4 linked regions of the Danio rerio genome follow. The protein of the gene in region 3 purifies or fractionates together with the protein of the main gene of each other region. This does not show direct contact. Links are inferred from orthologs where the notes say so. Each region holds a gene or a part of one and is shown on either strand. Other genes may lie near its edges.

The links.
Region 1: the proteins of ssb (region 3) and larp7 purify together in Homo sapiens (affinity purification with mass spectrometry; 4 studies listed by BioGRID and IntAct, with this or other methods). This does not show direct contact. The link is inferred for Danio rerio from reciprocal best matches to the Homo sapiens genes SSB and LARP7.
Region 2: the proteins of ssb (region 3) and ybx1 purify together in Homo sapiens (affinity purification with mass spectrometry; 3 studies listed by BioGRID and IntAct, with this or other methods). This does not show direct contact. The link is inferred for Danio rerio from reciprocal best matches to the Homo sapiens genes SSB and YBX1.
Region 4: the proteins of ssb (region 3) and ro60 purify together in Homo sapiens (affinity purification with mass spectrometry; 3 studies listed by BioGRID and IntAct, with this or other methods). This does not show direct contact. The link is inferred for Danio rerio from reciprocal best matches to the Homo sapiens genes SSB and RO60.

The regions. Positions count from the first base shown.
Region 1 is NC_133182.1:62,349,429-62,351,621, reverse strand, and holds the end of larp7 (la-related protein 7), read left to right. Parts: intron 1-477; coding exon 478-620; intron 621-701; coding exon 702-811; intron 812-906; coding exon 907-1,066; intron 1,067-1,152; coding exon 1,153-1,244; intron 1,245-1,427; coding exon 1,428-1,502; 3' UTR 1,503-1,691; downstream 1,692-2,193. UniProt on the Homo sapiens protein: RNA-binding protein that specifically binds distinct small nuclear RNA (snRNAs) and regulates their processing and function.
Region 2 is NC_133183.1:56,871,295-56,874,193, forward strand, and holds the end of ybx1 (Y-box-binding protein 1), read right to left. Parts: intron 1,703-2,899; coding exon of another isoform or gene 1,700-1,702; coding exon 1,471-1,699; 3' UTR 1,434-1,470; intron 855-1,433; 3' UTR 513-854; downstream 1-512. UniProt on the Homo sapiens protein: DNA- and RNA-binding protein involved in various processes, such as translational repression, RNA stabilization, mRNA splicing, DNA repair and transcription regulation.
Region 3 is NC_133181.1:4,437,470-4,440,989, reverse strand, and holds part of ssb (lupus La protein), read right to left. Parts: intron 2,254-3,520; coding exon 2,116-2,253; intron 1,617-2,115; coding exon 1,424-1,616; intron 1,348-1,423; coding exon 1,231-1,347; intron 1-1,230. UniProt on the Homo sapiens protein: Binds to the 3' poly(U) terminus of nascent RNA polymerase III transcripts, protecting them from exonuclease digestion and facilitating their folding and maturation.
Region 4 is NC_133177.1:12,355,539-12,359,058, reverse strand, and holds part of ro60 (RNA-binding protein RO60), read right to left. Parts: intron 241-3,520; coding exon 20-240; intron 1-19. UniProt on the Homo sapiens protein: RNA-binding protein that binds to misfolded non-coding RNAs, pre-5S rRNA, and several small cytoplasmic RNA molecules known as Y RNAs.

The sequences.
Region 1 (2,193 bases), on a different chromosome or scaffold from region 3:
ATTATTATTATTATTTATGTATTTTACATTGTGTATTATTTATTGCTGTTAATGACTTAATTATTAGGACATTTTTATAATTATAGAAAAGTGTTATTTATAAAATGTGTTTTTTTGCCATGACATAGCCATAGAAGCGGAAATGGCAATAAAATTAAAACTCTCTCTCTCTTTTACACTGTACCGAATCATCTCGCGGGCCAGATTAAACGTGTTTGCGGGCCTGATCCGGCCCGCGGACCACATGTTTGACACCCCTAATTTAGGACCATGATCTATTCACACTGCAAATCTCATATTGACCACATTTACAAGAGCAGTGTAAACAGCCATGCAAAAAATCAGATCTGAGAAAAAAAATCAGATTTGAGCACTAAGCATTGCAGTGTAAACCTAGCCTTAGACACACACACACACACACACAAACACACATAAGCTAATGAGTGTTTATCTATCTGCCCCTTTTTCAAATATCAGGAAGGAGTGGTTGGACCTGAAGCAAGAGTATCTCACACTGCAGAAGCGCTGCATGGCCCATCTGAAGCAGTCAGTTTTTCAGATCAATCAAAAGCCAACAAACTATCACATCGTGAAGCTTAAAGAGGATGACACGAATGCTTGTGAGTATATTTTGCTTGTGAGGACATTTTGGCTGTGATAAGCTTTTGCTATTTATTTCCCTGATTATTTTTTTCTTAAAGTTTATAAAGATACACCTAAGAAAGAGCTCACTTCTGGTCCTGAGTTTTTAAGTGGTGTCATTGTCAAGATTAGCTATAACCAACCTCTGCCGAGCAAGAGGTGCATCAAGGTATGGTAATTTTGTAGTTTATTTGGTGATACTTTTTGTCATACTTTTTATCTTATATACATTAAATAAGTAATTTGTCTTTTTCATACATGCAGGATATGCTATCTGAGCTGTCCCCTGTGGCTTATGTGGACCTTCTTGATGGAGATACAGAGGGTCATGTTCGCTTTAAAAGTTCTGAAGATGCACAGAAAGTCATTAAAGCACGATTTGAATTTCAGAAAAAATACAACTGGAACCTTGAACTCCTTTCTGGTTGGTAGGATTTTTTGAATGCTGTTTTTTAGCTGTTTTTTGTCAATGCAGAATATTATCTAAATCATGTATTAATTAATAAAAAGGTGACCATGAAAGAAGGTACTGGCAGAAGATTTTGGTGGACAGACAAGCAAAGCTGAACACTCCTAGAGAAAAAAAGCGTGGAACAGAAAAGGTAACATAAATACTCAACATACTTTTAACAGTAAAAAGACAACAACAAACTAAAACAATTTAAATTTACAATACTGTCTGTCTGTGTGTGTGTGTGTGTGTGTGTGTGTGTGTGTGTGTGTGTGTGTGTGTGTGTGTGTGTGTGTGTGTGTGTGTGTGTGTGTGTAATGTATGCTTTTCATAGCTCATTTCTAAAGCTGAGAAAATCATCATTGCTAAGGCCAAGGAAGCAAGCAATCACATCCGCTTTGATGATTAACTGGGTGACAAAATGTAAAAGGTCGTTTGAAATGATCTGATTTAATCTGTACATTTGTTTGCATTTTTTATATATACTGTAACAATCTTTAATTGAGTCATTGATGTTATCATTATTATTATTTTATTCTTTACAAGTTTCATTATTCCTATTTGATTGGTTTTGAATAAAAGTTTTTTAAGCAGTTGACAGAGCTGTCTCTCTCTTTCTCTCTCTCTCGTGCGTATGTGTGTGCGTCTGTGGAGTGAGTGAAGCGTGACTGTGAGAGCGACTGTGTTTTTCCCAACTTTCACGGATAGTTTATTGCTTAATTTACTTTGGAAAATTGTGTTGAAGTTAATATAATTATTTTAGTTTCTTTTTGGCCATTATGGCCGGGGTGAAGGAAAGTGGAGGGTTAGAGCAACGGCGGCATGGAATCAAAGTGCCGGTTGGAGTTGATTGTTCTGTGGAAGAATGTAGCCTTGCGGCCGGACAAATAGTTGGATATGAAAGCATAAGATCTGCTTCCAGAATGTTTTTTTTTTGGATTCCAAAGATAAGGTGAACAAGGTTGTAGAACAAGGCATTTTAGTGAAAGCACATACAATGAGTTTTCCTCTTATAAATCTGGTGAGGAGGTAATGTTGTTAAATATTCCGCCTTTCATAAAAGATGACGTTTGAGAACGAGAACTGTTGCGATATAGACA
Region 2 (2,899 bases), on a different chromosome or scaffold from region 3:
GTGGGAATCATGCTAATTTTATGGTACTCCTCAGATCACCACAAGCTAAAAGCCACAGAATTATCAAAACTAAAAAGGTGTTAATTTGATATGCCCATCCAAACAAAAGATTTGTAAATAATTCAAAGCTTCATGTAGCACTACCCCCACCCTGCAAATACCACTTTAGTGTGTCACGGTAACAAATAGGATATGATGACATCCTGTGACTCAGTGTTCCCACAGAAACTCCCACAATGCTTTGGACTGAAGATTCAAATGTTTGTTGTATGACTGTTGTAGGTTGGTGTTATGGAGAGCGCATGAGAGATGGGGAGAGAGGCTGGTTTCCTGCTAGTTGTGCCACTCAGATCACCAACCGCACCGCCATGGAGAACAACATCCAGCGTATGGAGAGACTCCGCAAAGAGACCAACGTGTGAACCGAACCCCAGCCGCAGGACACTGTTTGTAGAGATGATTTTTAGACTAGTGTGAATCAGGAACTGTTAACAAACACCACTCGTACGAGATTAATGTTTCTGGTTTTTATTTCAGCTTGCCTTTTGTTAAAATTCATGTTTGGATACATAAAAAGTTATTTAAAAATGTCAAACTGACCAGATATCAAATTACATTTAAAAACCATTTGGTGTAAAAACTTAAGACCGATTTAGAAAAACATCTGCTGTTTCCCCAAAAGTTTTAGCTGTCACAAAAATAATGGAAAAACAAAACAAACAAAAAAAAAAGTCTGCATAGAGTCTGCAGGCAATCGGTGGTAATCTGGTCGAAATGCATTTTTGCAAGCTTAGACGATCGAAGTCATATCTGTTTCTTATTGCTCAGATGTTGGATGTTTCTTCTTGACAAAACTGTGAAAGCAAACACACACACAAAACACTAAGTCAGTATGCTTGAAGCAACTCATCAGTTACAAGCACTAAAATGTGTGTGAAAGGACAAAGCAGACAGTCTGCTAAATCAAATCCATTCCATCATCCAACCTTCCATCAATGAAAAGTGCGAGCTAAAGCTAAAACATCATCCATTATCTAGAGTTACGTCTAAAAGGAGCTAATAAGGCATTAAATCAGTCCACCAGCACAACTTTCATGACATTTAAGCACAAATCACATGAAAATGACTGCACATTTTACAATCCGCTTGGCTAAGGTTGTATTTAAAACATTTTCCACAAGAACTTCTGCTTAATTGTCATGAAATAACACCAAACATCATTCTGCTTCAAATATTCTTTATTTCCTTTAGGCAACAACAAAACATTTATTAAGCAAAATGTGCCTTTCAGATCTTTCATGAGACTCTGTCAACAAAAACAATTATAGAAAAAACGAAACAAAAGAATGCTACTGTACAAATTGCAACACACTTGAAGATCAAGTATGTTAAAGTACATGCAGTACTAGCTGAAATGAAACGGCGTCACCCACCCGGCCGGATGGTCTGGATGTTTAAGCCGGTGGCGGTTTAATCTGCTCCGCCCTGTTCGGCTTCGGGAGCGGCTGATTTGTCGGCTGATGCGTCGGCTGCCTTGCTGTCCTTGCCGTCCTGAGGCTTGGTTGTCTGGGGGCGTCTGCGGCGGTAGTTGAAGTTGCGACGGTAGCGGCGCTGACGGGGCTCCTGGTTCTGTCCGCTCTCGCTCTGGTTCTCCTTATCCTCCTCTCCGTCCCGCACTGGCCGGGGACGTGAGGGACCCCTGCTGGAACACAGATGATGAAGTGTCCATCAGATTCCCAGTATCAGTTTCTAAGGCAGTGTGTTTCTTAACCACAATCCTGGAGGACCACCAGCTCTGCACATTTTTCATGTCTCCGTAACCAAACACACCTGATTTAGATCATCAGCTCATTATTAAAAACTGAAAGACCTGAAATGGGTTTGACAGACAAAGGAGATTTCCAAAACATGCAGTGCTGGTGGTCCTCCGGGACTATGGTTGGGAAACACTGATGCTCAAACTACTTTACAGTTCTAACCAAATGTAAGAGCACAAACGGGATGGGACAGCTATTGGTTTTATAGTAACACTTTACAAAACAGGATCCTGTACATGTTTGTAAATACATTAATGAATGTTTAGTTTATTAGTTAAAGTATGTGCTTGTTAAATGAAAATATAGATGTTAACTTTAAGTGGAGTAATGTTACAAGAACAGTTCTGGATTTTTAGTTGTGTCCATAAATACATTATTAGTTCATGATACTAAATACACAGTCTTTCACAACGGGAAGTCTATTTAAAGAGCAATAGAAGTTAGTTTAACTAATAATTTGAAAGATCATTCGAAGAAATGTTCATGCCAAATGTTCAAAGCATTAGAAAGAATGCAGTTTACCATTGCAATTTCCTAATACTAAAAGCAACATATGAGGTAACTTTTAATTCATTTCTCACACACAAAAAAAAAGGGTGCGGTTAATTAGTAAAACATTTAAAAAGCAAAATGCTCCAGACTTGCACTTATTCGGTGTATCTTGCAGTATTATGGTTTAGCTTTATTCTTCCTAAGCTCGACTGTGCAGGATGGACATAATGAGGTTTGATTTGTGAGATTTAAAAAAAAAAAAAAAAAAAAGGGTTCACACAAAAACAAATACCGTTTTCATTTACTGAAACTGAACCTTTACAGTGTTTGACCGCACTGTAGAAAGCTAAAAACAGTTCTTGGTGCATGTGCGACTCTAGTCAGTCATCAAAATACAAAAACTGCATCACTTGTTTGAATGAGTGCCTTTGCACTTTCATAAATCAAGATCAAAAATGACAAATCAAATCATAAAGACTAGTCACACTTGCACAGAGATATTGATTGACTCTTTTGTATGCTTTTATTTTTATTCTAGAAAACCCAGAACCATTTACTGCTCTAATATAAAATCCCCAAAGACCACAGAT
Region 3 (3,520 bases):
CAGCACCCGCGCGTCCTCAGTTATATCCGCGCATAGGGCGGCGTCCACGACACCTCCCTCAGCACCCGCGCGTCCTCAGTTATATCCGCGCATAGGGCGGCACAATAGAGGTCCGCGACACCTCACTTCATTTTTATAACCGGTCACTTTCGTTTTCACATTGGGGTTAAGGGTGGCGTGATCGTCCTCTGCCTAGAGCAGCAGTTCAGCTTGCTCCGGCCCTGAGAGCAACACAAACAGCGCACAGAAGTATAAATGCAAGTTTGCATGCAAGGTAGGCACCGTGGGCCACACTGATCACTCGACGCTAAAGTATAAATCAGCCTTAAGAGAGTGGAGAGAAGAGGCCAGCAGCTAGCTCTTTGCAACTCACATGGTCGCCCACTGAAGCTAAGCAGGGCTGTGTCCCGTCAGCTTCTGGATGGGAGACCACATGGGAAAGCTAGGTTGCTGCCGGAAATGGCATTAGTGAAACCAGCAGGGGGCACCCGTCCTGTGGTCTCTGTGGGTCCTAATGCCCCAGTATAGTGACGTGGACGCTATACTGCTCAGTGAGCGCCGTCCTTCAGATGAGACGTTAAACCGACGTCCCGACTCTCTGTGGTCGTTAAAACGTTAAAATCCCAAATTCGCCCACTGGTCTCTGTCCATCATGGCCTCCTAACCATCCCCATATCATAATTGGCTTCATCACTGTGTCTCCTCTCCACCAATCAGCTGGTGTGGGATGAGGAGATTCCCCGATTGTGTAAAGCGCTTTGAGTGGCCAGAAAAGCGCTATATAAATGTAAGAAATTATTATTATTTTTATTATTATTATAAGGGATTTTAATTGTTGGATAATTGTTTAATGAGTGTGAATCATGACCTTCTAAAAATAAACACTGGAAAAAGTGTGAATTTTACCCATATATGCGCATTTTACTGAAAATCTTTTATACTTGTATAGCACTTTCACAATAATTATCATTCCAAAGCTTCACAAAAGTTGCACACTACATTAGCTAAAATCAGAGAAGTTAAGGGGTTGGCAATATATAAGCAGTTTCCTGCAGTTACACGGGGTCGTTCCAAAAGATATAATATTTACATGTAATAGTAACGCATGTTCAGTGAAGTGTATTTTTTACATTGTGTTTGTTGTCCTCGAATAACCCATAGTATTAAGCGGGACAAACAAGAAAATCAATCAAGAAGAAGAAAAAAAGTAAACCAGAGTGTCCCTTTTACCTTCATCTCCCTCTTCATCGCTATCAAACTTGGTCTTCTTTCCCTTGAACTGAGTGTGTTCTCGTCCTCCTCGGTCTCTGCGGCCTCCTCGTCCTCTTCCTCGACCCCTGAACCCTCCTGCAATCACAGTGTAAATGTGGTAAACAGTGGGTTTAGACCGTGGCATGTGTCTTCATGATGTCCTGTGATTTACCTCGGCCTCCTTTGCGTTTGTTTATTGACTCCTGCTGATCCTCGATGATTTTCTTCAGTGTTTCCATCTCCACGTCTCCCTCCAGAATCTCCCACTGAACGGCCTGCTCCTTCACCTTGGGATCCTCCCCGTTGAGAGCCTCTCGGACTTTCTGGAGAGCCTCTTTAGCGTTGGAGTGGAACAGGATGGTGCCCTGAGCAAAGTAATGGACGGAAGACAACTTTACAGGTGCAGTATGGGGGATTGACAACTTGTGGTTGAACTAAAGGTGCTAAAAAGGTCTTAAATTTAAGACAGTTTTTTCTTACAATTTCTGTTTTAGGAAAGGACTGAGCAAAATCTTTGTAGGTTTAATACAGAGTTCCCTAATAATAAGGCTTTATTTTTTATTATTGTGTTTATTATGTACTTTTAAAATCACAAGAAGCTTTTTAGTTCTGTAGCTGATTGTGACAAAACAAGTCTGCCTGTTCAATATAAAAAGCAAGCACTGGAGAACTGTTGCTTATTCCTGCTGTACTGTACTGAACCATGACCCCAAAGCACATACCAAACCCTGACTCCAGTGTATCGTTACACCCCTAAAATCTATATGAATCTTATTTCAAAATCATTTAAATATTAGATTACTACAGCAAGACATTTAAAATGATGTTGTCCAGACTGAATAACCACTGACTCTCAGTCCTCACCTCTTTAGCTCCTCTGGTGAAATCAATCCACTTGATTTGAGCGTGATCAGAGAAGACGGAGTGAAAATCCTCCCTTGAGGTCTGACCCAATTCACCAGAGAACTTCAGCAGGCAGCCTCTCTGCTCATTCAGGGATTTCTGGGCAAACAAAAGAGTTATATCATTGAGCAGCTTTAAAAAAATATCGTATTTTTTGTATGCATGTAAACTGTCTACACAGTTGTTAATAAAAGAAGTGCATGATAAATAAAAATAAAGCCTCTCAACAGAAAGTGTCTGCTCTGAATCACTTTAATGAATCATCATATTTCGACATCTTTTGCTTGCTACTAATATACACTATCGCTCAACAGTTTGGGGATTTTTTTTTTTCACCTTGAATTGAGCGTATCAAGAGGAAAGCGTGGAGAGCAGAGAGAGGCGAAGAATTGGCAAAAGACCTTGAGGCAGGAATCATACTCAGGTCGCCGTGAGCACCGGAGTGCATGTGTCGACGCACTAACCACTACGCCATTAGTGCCGACAAGTTTGTTGATTTTTAAATGTTTTAAAATTAGCTTCTCCTGCTCACCAAGGCTGCATTTATTTAATTAAAAATACAGTGCGTATGGTAGAATTGTGAAATGTTATTGCACTAAAGAAATTACTGTTTAAAAGTAGTTTATCATTTAATTAAAATATTTATTCCAGTGATTTTAAAGATGAAATACTCCAGTCTTCAGAGTCACATGATCCTTCAGAAATCACTCTAATAATAATAATTATTGTTACTATAATTACTGGTAATAGTAATTAAAGCAATAATGACTAAAGTAATAATTTCATTTGAAACAAGATACAATAAGTAATAAATAAATATTACATAAATAAGTATTTAACATTTTACATTTAATAAATGCCGTACCTGTAACTTCCATTTTTTCTTACTATGGATGTTAGGGGTTTTCAGCATTCTTCAAAATATCTTCTTTTGTTTTCAACAGAAGAAACTCAGTTTCATCATCAGTTGAGGGATAGTAAACAGCGCCCAAATTATGTTTAGTATTGCAAATTACGTGAACCCAAAAAATACATTAAGTGAACTATACCTTAAAGCCATAGGTCTCAAACTCAATTCCAGGAGGGCTGCAGCTCTGCAGTTTTGCTGCAACCTTGGTCAAACACAGCTGATCCAACCACTGAAGGTGTTCATGACTCCTTTGAACACCTCAGTTATTTGGATCAGCTGTGTTTGATTAGGGTTGGAGCAAAACTGTGCAGAGCTGCGGCCCTCCAGGAATTGAGGGCTGGTGTCCTGTGGATTTTAGCTCCAACCCTAATCAAACACACCTGAATAAGCTAATCAAGGTCTTACTAGGTATACTTGAAACATCCAGGCAAGAGTGTTGAGGGAGGTTGGAGCTAA
Region 4 (3,520 bases), on a different chromosome or scaffold from region 3:
TAGTCAAGTGTGGCAAAACCTCTTTGGACTTGAGATGGTTGGTGAGAAGCTGCTCTTTCCCCAGTCTCTGCTCCTCAATCAGATGAATGAGCTCCTGTTCATCAGTGGAGTGTTTGACTTTTTCAACAGCTTCCAGATACGCAAAAACCTTCTGCAGATCCTCAGATTTGTCTTTCTCAGCATATGCTTCCTCAACCCCTTTCCATCCTTTCGTGATGTATTTGCAAACGAGAGCAATGTCTGTGTAGAACAAGAACACATACTTAATTTTAATCTGTGATTTCTGACACAACAATTAAAAATTTTATTTTTATTTTTTTACATAGAGTATTTGTGCTTTACAAATATAGAAAGTTCTGACTTTAAAACTTTGATATGATTATTTATAAATTGTGATAAGTGCTAGAACAGTTTTAGTTGGCACATTTATTTTATTTATATTGTGACAGTAAAAAGTATTTAATAATAAATGCAACATATATGAAAGTCGCATTGCTTAGTATTACTTAAAAATATATATAATATAATATAATATAATATAATATAATATAATATAATATAATATAATATAATATAATATAATATAATATAATATAATATAATATAAGAAAATACAAAATTATTCAATTAAATTTTGTACTAAGCAAATTAAAAATAAATTATTACATATAGAATTTTGGCATTTGAATTTAATACAATTTACATAGGAGATTGAATTTATATACATAGAAAGCATAAAGCATAACATAGCATTAATATTTCAAAACTTTTTGTGAAAATTTAAAAATATGGGTGAAATAATGTTTTATTATTCAAACATTTATTTTGCCATGTACTTACTAAAATAAAAGTATAATTGAACATTAAATTATCACATATTTTAACAATTTGAGAAAATTATAATTAATAAAAGTAAAAGTAACACCTGACAAAAGGTTTGTCAACATGAACAATTGCTACCATTAATGCAATTTTAGTGGGTATCTTCTGTGAATTATGGTAAAAAAAAATGTTAAACATAACGAAACGTTAAACAAAAGAAATTCTGCTTATTTATTTAGACGTTGATGCAAGAAAACGTTTTGTCTTTTAACCATTTATCAAAATAGTACCAGCGTTTACATACATTTGTGATTGTCTCTCTTCTTAAAAAATGTAAAAATGTTATGTATATGTTTGTATGTATGTATATAGGGGGCGAGGCAGTGGCACAGTAGGTAGTGCTGTCGCCTCACAGCAAGAAGGTCGCTGGTTCAAACCCCGGCTCAGTTGGTGTTTCTGTGTGGAGTTTGCATGTTCTCCATGCCTTCGCGTGGGTTTCCTCCGGGTGCTCCGGTTTTCCCCACAGTCCAAAGACATGCGGTACAGGTGAATTGGGTAGGCTAAATTGTCCGTAGTGTATGAGTGTGTGTGGATGTTTCCCAGAGATGGGTTGTGGCTGGAAGGGCATCCGCTGCGTAAAACTTGCTGGATAAGTTGGCGGTGCATTCTGCTGTGGCGACCCCGGATTAATAAAGGGACTAAGCCGACAAGAAAATGAATGAATATATATATATATATATATATATATACATACATAAACACACACACACGCACACACATTATTAGCCCCCCTGAATTATTGGGGGGCTATTTTTCCCCCCAATTTGTGTTGAACAGAGATTTTTTTCAGCACATTTCTTTTATATATATATATATATATATATATATATATATATATATATATATATATATATATATATATATAAAAACACGGAGAGTCTAAAAACTCTTTTGTATAAGAAACTACAAGTGATTTTACTCACATTTCAAGATTATGAGGCTGAGCGGCATGAAATCTCTACAGAGATTTCCCAGTATTTCTCTGTTGCAATTGGGAGATCAAAATAATTAACCTCAAAAAAGTTAGAACAGTGCAAACACTACCAGATTACTGTTGTTTGCGATAAGGAAAAATCCTAAACACACACATGGATTTCTTCTTTCTTTCTGTTTACTGAACCAGTCTGCAGTAACTCATAAGAAACAGATGATCAACCAAAAAGTAACTCAGGGTTAGATAAAGAGTGTAACACAGAATACATACATTCCTAATATTTGAGTCCTATCTCACACTCAACACCCTAAGACTGCTATGGTATAGACCAGGGGTGGGCAAACTCGGTCCTGGAGGGCCGGTGTCCTGCATAGTTTAGCTCCAACTCTAATCAAAAACACCTGAACATGCCAAAAAGTGTCTTCAAGATCACTAGAAATCTATAAGCAGGTGTGTTTGATTAGAGTTGGAGTTGAACTGTGCAGGACACCGGCCCTCCAGGACCGAGTTTGCCCATCCCTGGTATAGACAACACTGGAACATACAAAATAGAGTGAGATCAACTTAGAAAGTCACTTTTTTAATCAGCTGTAGTTTAAAATTACGCTGGGTTTTCCCTCCTTTAAGGGCTGATTATGCGGTCTGTGTCACCATATTGTTGATGGCGCTGTATCTCCAAAACTATAAATATTTAAAGTAAATAAACTGCATATTCAAACTTTCCTTATGAATAAACTGCATTGTTTCAATCAAAACAACTACATTCTCGCCCTAAAAAGCCTTATGCTGCGTTCACACCAGATGCGGCACGCGTGTCAAGCGCGAGTGATTTACATGTTAAGTCAATGCAAAAGCGCGAATAGACATCCTGCGGCGCGATATGCGCGAATAGCGCGGCGCGAATGACGCAAATTGCGCGCGAAAAACGAGCGTTTCGCGCAAATCTCTCGATTTCGAAAATCTGAACTTCAGCGTACATTCGCGCCGCGTAAACCAATCAGAAGCTTGCTCTTGTGGGGGCGTGATTGTGACGTAGAACCTGTTGTCGGTGTTCCGAGGGAAATCCTCCAGCCTTCACCGACAACAGTTCATCAAACTCGGCTTGGCTAAGTTAGAAGCACCGCTGAAAGCCTCCGTCATCTAGGTTAAGTTTCTGGAAGAGTTTATGAGCTCACAGAGCTGAATGCACCTCTGAAAGAATGTAGTGGACTCAGACACAACCCTAAAAGTATCAACGCTGTTTTTCAGTCTTCATAAAGCACATAAACACTGTTATTTTCTTCATAAAATCCATGTTAGCCATTTAGCTATGAAGCTAGAGTTTTCGGGCAGACAGAAGCCCTGCCCATCACGCGAATCCGTATCTGTTCTGATGTGAATTTGACACGCGAATGAAGTGGGGTTTGACGCACGTATGAAGCGAGTAAACTCAAATGTTCACGCAGCTATTTACGCGCAAGTAGCGCGATTTATCCGCGCGTTCCGCGTCTGGTGTGAACACAGCATTAAAAGTACATTATGTTGTCCAATAACTGCAATATTTGTCAAACTGTAATGAGTTCTGAGTAATGATCTGCTGTCAGTCTATTTGGGTGGAGTAATACGGTTTGGTAAGGAGGCTGTAGGAGTTCTGATATTGCAGAATATCTCACTGCTATCAGCCACTCAAATTCGAGAACCAGACAGAACTGTTGTATAAATAAA